Coturnix japonica: one gene and its partner. The protein of the gene in region 2 interacts with the protein of the main gene of each other region in a biochemical or structural test. Links are inferred from orthologs where the notes say so. Each region holds a gene or a part of one and is shown on either strand. Other genes may lie near its edges.

The links.
Region 1: of the proteins of IKBKB (region 2) and TNFAIP3, one has a biochemical effect on the other in vitro, tested with the Homo sapiens proteins (2 studies listed by BioGRID and IntAct). The link is inferred for Coturnix japonica from reciprocal best matches to the Homo sapiens genes IKBKB and TNFAIP3.

The regions. Positions count from the first base shown.
Region 1 is NC_029518.1:49,354,380-49,357,646, reverse strand, and holds the end of TNFAIP3 (tumor necrosis factor alpha-induced protein 3), read left to right. Parts: intron 1-1,813; coding exon 1,814-2,079; 3' UTR 2,080-2,709; downstream 2,710-3,267. UniProt on the Homo sapiens protein: Ubiquitin-editing enzyme that contains both ubiquitin ligase and deubiquitinase activities.
Region 2 is NC_029537.1:4,085,732-4,089,900, forward strand, and holds the start of IKBKB (inhibitor of nuclear factor kappa-B kinase subunit beta), read left to right. Parts: upstream 1-1,315; 5' UTR 1,316-1,377; coding exon 1,378-1,482; intron 1,483-1,561; coding exon 1,562-1,656; intron 1,657-2,789; coding exon 2,790-2,907; intron 2,908-4,132; coding exon 4,133-4,169.

The DNA.
Region 1 (3,267 bases), on a different chromosome or scaffold from region 2:
TGTCCTCTTGTACATAATGGCACACCTTGCACTGGCTGCTGGTTACCGTGTAATGGTAATTAGGCATCTCAGCCTGTTCTGTGGTCCTTAGTGCACAATCACTTAAAAAGCAAGAAAAATAGCCTGACTGACATTCCAACAGGATAAGTTATAGCTTACTTGCCTTCTAACTTATAGCCTGCAATGAAGATCAAACTGATTTTTACTTGAGGGTACAGATCAACATCATTTTTCAATTACGTATTATTCATACACAGCCAGCAAAATAGATGATGTTGCACACTGTTTCACAATCACGTGCATGTCTAGACCAGCCTATATCTACTGCCTAAAAGAAAAGAAGAAAAAGTCATCGTTTCCAGAGACTTTTTTTTCTTTTTTTTCTTTAAAAAAAAAAAAAAGGAAGTTTTGGGGGTGGTAATAGAGCCATGAATGCTGACCCTCAGCAGAGCAGGTCTCTTTGAAAGCTGGTGCTGGGGCAGGTGCTTGGAGCCTCCAGTGTTTGCCAGCGCTCCTGTGCATCTGAGTCATATCAGCCATGTGCACCACGGAAGTTCACAACGCATTACTCAGAGCAGGCATGTAGCTTGGGCTCTGCCAAACCCGAGGCTACGTGAATGTCAAATTAAACATATTCATCACCAGAATGTTCTTTCTCTGTTTTTCTTTTGGGCATCCAGCAGGGAAGACTTATTAAGGCAGAACTTCATATTGTTGGGATTTCATTATATAATTCACTGACTTACAGTTTGCTTTGTTGTTACTTCAGGCATTTGAGCTTTGCTTTTCTCTCCTGCACTGGGGCCTAAGTCAGACCTCCACTCTGGGCTATACAGTGCATTCAGTCTTCCCTGGGGCTTTGTTTTTCCACGTGTCCTCACATTATAAGGTCACTACAATGTTAAATTACCTCACTGTCACGTGTGCTTCGATCCAGACTGGCTTTCCTCTACCAGAATAGCAACCCACCAGCAGCTGTGACCAAGAACAAGCTGATCTGTGTTGTACAGAGCTTCCTGATACTTTCCGCCACATGGCTACACATGCACTTCCAGAGGCGCCTACACATGCTGTAGGTTTCCAGCTTCAGCTCCTCAGAGTGCCTGTGGTGGTCTCCCTCTGTCTCCTGGTGACTTTTGTCTTGTTGTCACCCACCCTCACACCAGTCAGGGTGCTCCTGAGTCAGTTTCTGGGGAGGATACTATCCTCTGCTTTGTCACTTTGGAGAAGGTGAGAGTGTGAAGTGCAGCTTGCTGGAAACACCCAGCCCCTAACACTCCTCCTTGGGCTGCCTACTTCATCTTGTAGGTGGCTTCTCCTGTAAAAATGCAGAAGTTTGGCTGAGCTCTGCGAAGGGTTGACCTTCCGTATTTCAGTTTTTACCTCTTTGAGCTGACAATGCTTCCTATTTGGGAACAACTTTGAACTAAACTCATCAAATTCAGCTGCAAATAGAGATAGGTTTTATCTCTTTTATTTTGATTCCCCACAATGAAGTTTCAGCTTGTACTAATAACATCTATAGTACAGCTGCCAAAACAGTGTTCGTTCTTCACCTCTTAGTATTAGCATGCTTTTTTTGTTTGTTTTGTTATGTTTCAGGGTATAACTAAATATTATCACTGCTAGAGAAAGTGTATCTAAACCGTATTGGTCATGACCTATTTTTGCTTGGCTAAAAAGGAACAAGATACTTGAAAGTACATGCTAATTTGTAAAACTTGAACAAATCAGTTTTAATACTGCAATAAGGGAAATGTGAATGTATAGAATGAATCCAGCAGAGCCTGTAATAAATAGAAAATAATTGCAGGACATCAGAGAGGACAGCAAAAACAGGAGATGGTAACTTCACAGCCACGTGGAACCAGTAAGTGTTTAATCTACAAACTTTCTTGTTTTCAGCTGAGTGAAGCAGAGACAAGTAGACACAAGAAAAAGTACAAACAAGTTCTTTATTCTGCAGCTCCATTTGAGCACTCTAAAGATAGCATCAAGGACTGCATGGAAATCCCCTGGATACACTTTGTAATTTTTTCCGGTGAATCTCAGGATAGCAAATATGAAAGGCAAGGGTAAGAGAATGACCACAGCTGGTGTAGGCTGCACTTTGGTATTCCGCTTTTGCGGTGCAGACACCCAGAGTGGAATTAATCTCAGCTGTCTCTCCCTCCCCTGACTACAAGGGGCACCCAGATGACTAGCTCAGATGTAGATGTTTACACTGGTTTACAAAGGTGACATTCTGGAGTAGATGCATCCCACGCGCCATTTCTGAGGTGATGTTTCCTCTTGAAGAAAGCTATAAAATCAGGGCAATATGCAGATTGTCTTTTGCTTTGTAACTCACTAACTAATCAGATTTTGATGCTGGGCAAGCCATGAAAATACTTACAACTTATGGCAACTAATGCCTCCCGAAATCAATGGGTGGTAGGCAGTTAAATGCTTTGCATCTCTGGGGCAGTTAACCATCCATGAATATATATTTGTCTTGCGAGAAATTAGAGAAGTAACACTCACATAACTCCCCTCAATAGCTGTGAAATTTAAATAATTAATTATGACAATACTCACTGACATCCTGAAGTAAAAGGTCTGACACAAATAATTATACTTGATGTTTCAGTCTGTATTGATGATGTACTTGTTCCCCACCAACAATGCAGTTTTGGGACATATTGAGGCTAAACTTTAGACAACCTTTCATTTTTCTGAAGTTGTGTTTTCTTTCAGGTACTCCTTGGACATAGAAGAACCGAGATGAAACCTGCCCAGAGGGAGCATGTGGAACAAGATACACGTCCCTGCATTAAACAGTTACCTAAATAACAATCTCGCTATGTTACCATTTCCACAGTTATTTCAAGTGTTCAAGAAATGTATTTGAACTCCCAAATAATTCCCTGCTCAGCTCCTGTATGTTTCCAGTGTAGAAAAACAGTGTAAGTGCAGTAATATGAAGGCAGGGTTGTTTGGACCAAGTGTTAACTGCAAAACACTTGGCACTGTTACCAAGGACAATGTCTGCTCCACTTGCATTAATAATGCATTCAAAGAAACAGGCTTTTCCTTTGCAGTAGATGGAACTGCATCAGTTCTCTTTCTAACAGAGCAAAATGTTGTCAAACAACAAGATAGTGTCACAGTTCTGCACACTACTTCTAGTTGGCTACTGATCATCACATTTAGCTTCATTGAATCATAGAGATGTATGCAAGGATTTGTATCCAGCTTACACAATGAGAAGTGTTACGAATGGGGGGA
Region 2 (4,169 bases):
TGGGCACAGAGACCTTGTGTCACAGTGTGCCTCAGTGTTGCTGGAATCAACTCCCAAGTTAATTAATATCAATGAAGAAATGTTAGGACCTCTCATTTTCAGGACGTAAGTGCACAGAATCCTCTGTCAGCAAACATGCTGAGGGTCATTTTGCACGTTGGCAAAGAGGAAACTTTATCTTGAATGTTTAAGTCTTTTCTGTATGGAAACCTGTGTCAAGGTTGTCATATGCATCTGCACGTGTGAACATAAGTGCCATACATCTGCTTTAGGAACAAATGGGACTGTGTTGAGAAAGGTTGGTTGGGCTCTGCTGAACAAACGGGCTAATTTCTATCTCTTTTAAAGATGATTTTTTTTTTGCTATTGGAGTTCTAAAGTTCCTAATGAAGTAATGGCTTCCAGTGAGGATTTCAGAAGTTGTTATTTCCCAGCTTTTTGAGCTTAAGGTCAGCTGTAGCTTTCTAGAGAGTGGTGTGGGTGCTCTGTGTGCTTCTTACTGTGCTTTAGGAAAGCAAGCAGTAACAGCACCTTCCCCATTCAGCAGTGTCCGCTGCTTTACCTCCCAGCTGATCCTGCATCAGGACAGGGTTTTTTTAGAGGCTGCTAAGTTAGGATCCCTACGTACTGTTCAGCTGCTCAGGTGCTGCCTGAAGCCTCTGCTTCATCCCCGGTTGTGTTTAAGAGCTGTTTGGGTGTGGTACTCAGGGATACGATTTAGTGTAGGGTTTTTAGAGTTAGAGTACTATGGTTATAGGGTACTATGGTTATAGAGTACTATGGTTATAGGGTACTATGGTTATAGTGTACTATGGTTATAGAGTACTATGGTTATAGGGTACTATGGTTATAGGGTACTGTGGTTATAGGGTACTGGTTAGGCTACGGTTGGACTTGATGATCTTCAAAGTCTTTTCCAACCTGGGTAATTCTATGATTCTATGATTCTTTCAGTTCCACACCAGGTGCAAAATGCAGGAAGTGTAAAAGGCTTCAGAAACGTGTTTTCTTGCTTTATGTTGCCTGGATGTTGTGTTGAGGGATATGATTTAACTGGGAAGTATTGGTGATGGTTGGACCGGATGATCTTCTAGGTCTTTTCCAACCTTGATAATTCCGTGATTCTGTGGTAAGTACCACATCATTTTTACAATACATACCAACCACGGAAGGCGGCCCTACTGCAGCCTGAGTCCTACGTCTCAGAGTTTCTTCATTGGAAAAGCTGAATTTATTGCTCCTTATCGCCTTTGTAGCCCTCACTTGACGGAAGGCGGTCGCGGCCCCTTTAAGGCCGCCTCGTACCACGTGCCTCCGGAGCCGGAAGTGCCGGCGGAGACGGCCCAGGCCCCGCGGAGGCGCCGCGCTCCGTCCGCCATGAGCCGCCCGCCGGCTCTGCAGGCGCAGACCTGCGGCCCCTGGGAGATGAAGGAGCGCCTCGGTACCGGCGGCTTCGGCAACGTCATCCGCTGGCACAACAAGGTAGGAGGCGGCCCGTCCCGTCCCGCTCCGCCGGGCCCGGCCCGACCGGCGCTCAGCCGACCCCGCGCTGTGTCCGCAGGAGACCGGCGAGCAGGTGGCCATCAAGCAGTGCCGGCAGGAGCTGAGCCCGAGGAACCGGGAGCGCTGGTCCCTGGAGATACAGATCATGAAGAGGTGAGGCAGATAAATAGAGATCGTGAAGAGGTGAGGGACATAGAGATCGTGAGGAGGTGATGGGGAGCAGCGGGGCCTGGCGCTGCGGGACGGGCCGAGTGGAGCCCAACGCCCCCGCGCTGCCGGGCCCGGCCCTGATGGGCGCGTTATAGAATGACAGAATGACTCGGGTTGGCAGGGACCTCAAGGATCATGTAGTTCCAAACCCCCCTGCCTGGCAGGGCCACCGAACATACACATTTACTAGATCAGGTTGCCCAGGAGACCCCATAGATCCCCATAGAGACACCATAGACCCCATAGAGACTCCATAGATCAGGTTGCCCATGGCCCCGTCCAACCTGGTCTTGAACACCTCCAAGGACGGAGCATCCACAACCTCCCTGGGCAGCCTGTTCCAGGGCCTAACCACGCTCCTATGAAGAACTTCCCCCTAACATCCAACCTAAATCTTCCCTCTTTTAACTTAAAACCATTTCCCCTAGTCCTGCTATTGTCAGCCCTTTCCAAGAGTTTACTCCCCTCCTGGGAGTAAGTTCCCTTCAGGTATTGAAAGGCTGCAATGAGGTCACCCCGCAACCTTCTCTTCTCCAGGCTGAACAAACCCAACTCCCTCAGCCTGTCCTCACAGGGGCATAGGCGTTATAGTAATGGCTGCACTGAGGTACGGGCAGGAGGGGCGGCTGGTCCGGCATGGAGCGAGGACGTGCTGAAGGTCTTTGTTATTCCTGAGAGCTTCGGGTCTAAGGCTTTCCTCGTAGCAGCTCTGCTGTGTTAGCATCTGCACAGGGCTGTGCTGTGGGGTTCTGGGTTGGTTAACACGGGGTGTTGGGTTGATTAGCTCTTGCTAAACAACTTGCTGGGGGGTGATACCGGCCCGGCGGGGCATTGAGCTCGTCCTGTAGCTCCATGTCACACCTGTGATACATCTGTGGCACACATAGGGTGTGCAAAGAGCTGGAATGAGTTTGTAGGCCTGTGAGGGATGGATAAATTGCAGGCTGTTAGAGCTGACTTTCAGTTTCTAAAAGCATTAATGGCCTTATAGGACTTAATGTGACAACCATGACTGTGTGAGGCTGTGCAGGTGTGGTTCTGGTGCGGTGTCCATTTGCCTTATTTCTGTTTCTCAGGCTGAACCATCCCAATGTGGTGGCTGCCCGTGATGTTCCTGAGGGAATGCAGAAGCTTGCACCGAATGATTTGCCATTGCTGGCCATGGAGTACTGCCAGGGTGGGGACCTCCGCAAGGTGAGCTCACCAGGTGCTCCTGTGAGGTGCCAGTCATTCACTCACTGTCCTCTCCTTCCCAGTGAGATGGGGGAGAGAACTGAAAGACAAAAGTGGGACTCGGTGGGTTGAGATAAAAACTATTTACTGAGTCAGAGAATAGATCATTATTATGACAAATAAGCCTGGAAGAGCCGGCCCTCAGCCCCTCATATCCTGTTCACCATCAGTTTGAGTCAGCTGTCCTAATCCTGTTCCCTCCTAGTAACTTGGGCCTTTGCTGAGAATGGCCCTTATGCTGTGCAGTACTGCTTAGCAGCAGCTATAAACGTTGGTGTGTATCAGCATTGTTTTTCTTATAGAACCAATACACGGTGTCATGCCCTGCACTCTGAAGAACGCAGTACTGTCCCAGCTGCAGCTGAGACAGGTGGTGGTGGTGAAAGGTTAAAAGCTGGATTAGCTTCCCAGCGGAATGGAACCTAGGGGCTTCTTTTTAGGAGTTTCTCTTTAAAGCATATTTTCATGTTCTGATGCTTCCTAATTCTTTATGTGATACCAAGAGGATTTTACACGTTAGTCCTTGATAAAGTTCTGAAAATCTCTAGTGCTTTCTGAGGCTTTTGACTTTTATTTGTCTGCAAGTAACAATGCAGCAATTTTGCATGTAGAAGATGAGAGCATGTGTGAAGGATATGCAACAGGATTTGGAGCACGTCCAAGACCATTGTAGCTCAAGGTGCAGGCCCTGTCTGTAATAGGAAAAAAATACAGTTACTAGTGCTGCTTCTTATCTTACTGCTTTTTTAAACCTTCGCTATAACCTGCCCATAGATGAGACCTGTAACTTACAGCTGACTTTGCTATAACCTGCCCATAGATGAGACCTGTAACTTACAGCTGACAGTGCTATAACCTGCCCATAGATGAGACCTGTAACTTACAGCTGACAGTGGAGCTGGTATTGCTAGGCTCCAGGGGAAATGCTTATGAAGGACCCAGCAAAGTTGCAGTAACACTGACTTTCCACTCTCCCTTTCTCATCCTATGGATGCACTGAGGCTTGAAGCCCTAATTATTGCTAGGAGAGGTCCCAGCTCCATGGTTTTGTCTGTAAAAAAACAAACAAATAAAAAAAAACTTAATTGTTCATGCCTGAACATCTTGTGTTTTGAGAATACGTGGGACTGCGATCCTTCAATGGGATATAGGGTGGAGAAGCTGTCATTTTGGTGTTTTCTTGCAGTACCTGAATCAGCTGGAGAATTGCTGTGGTTTGCGGG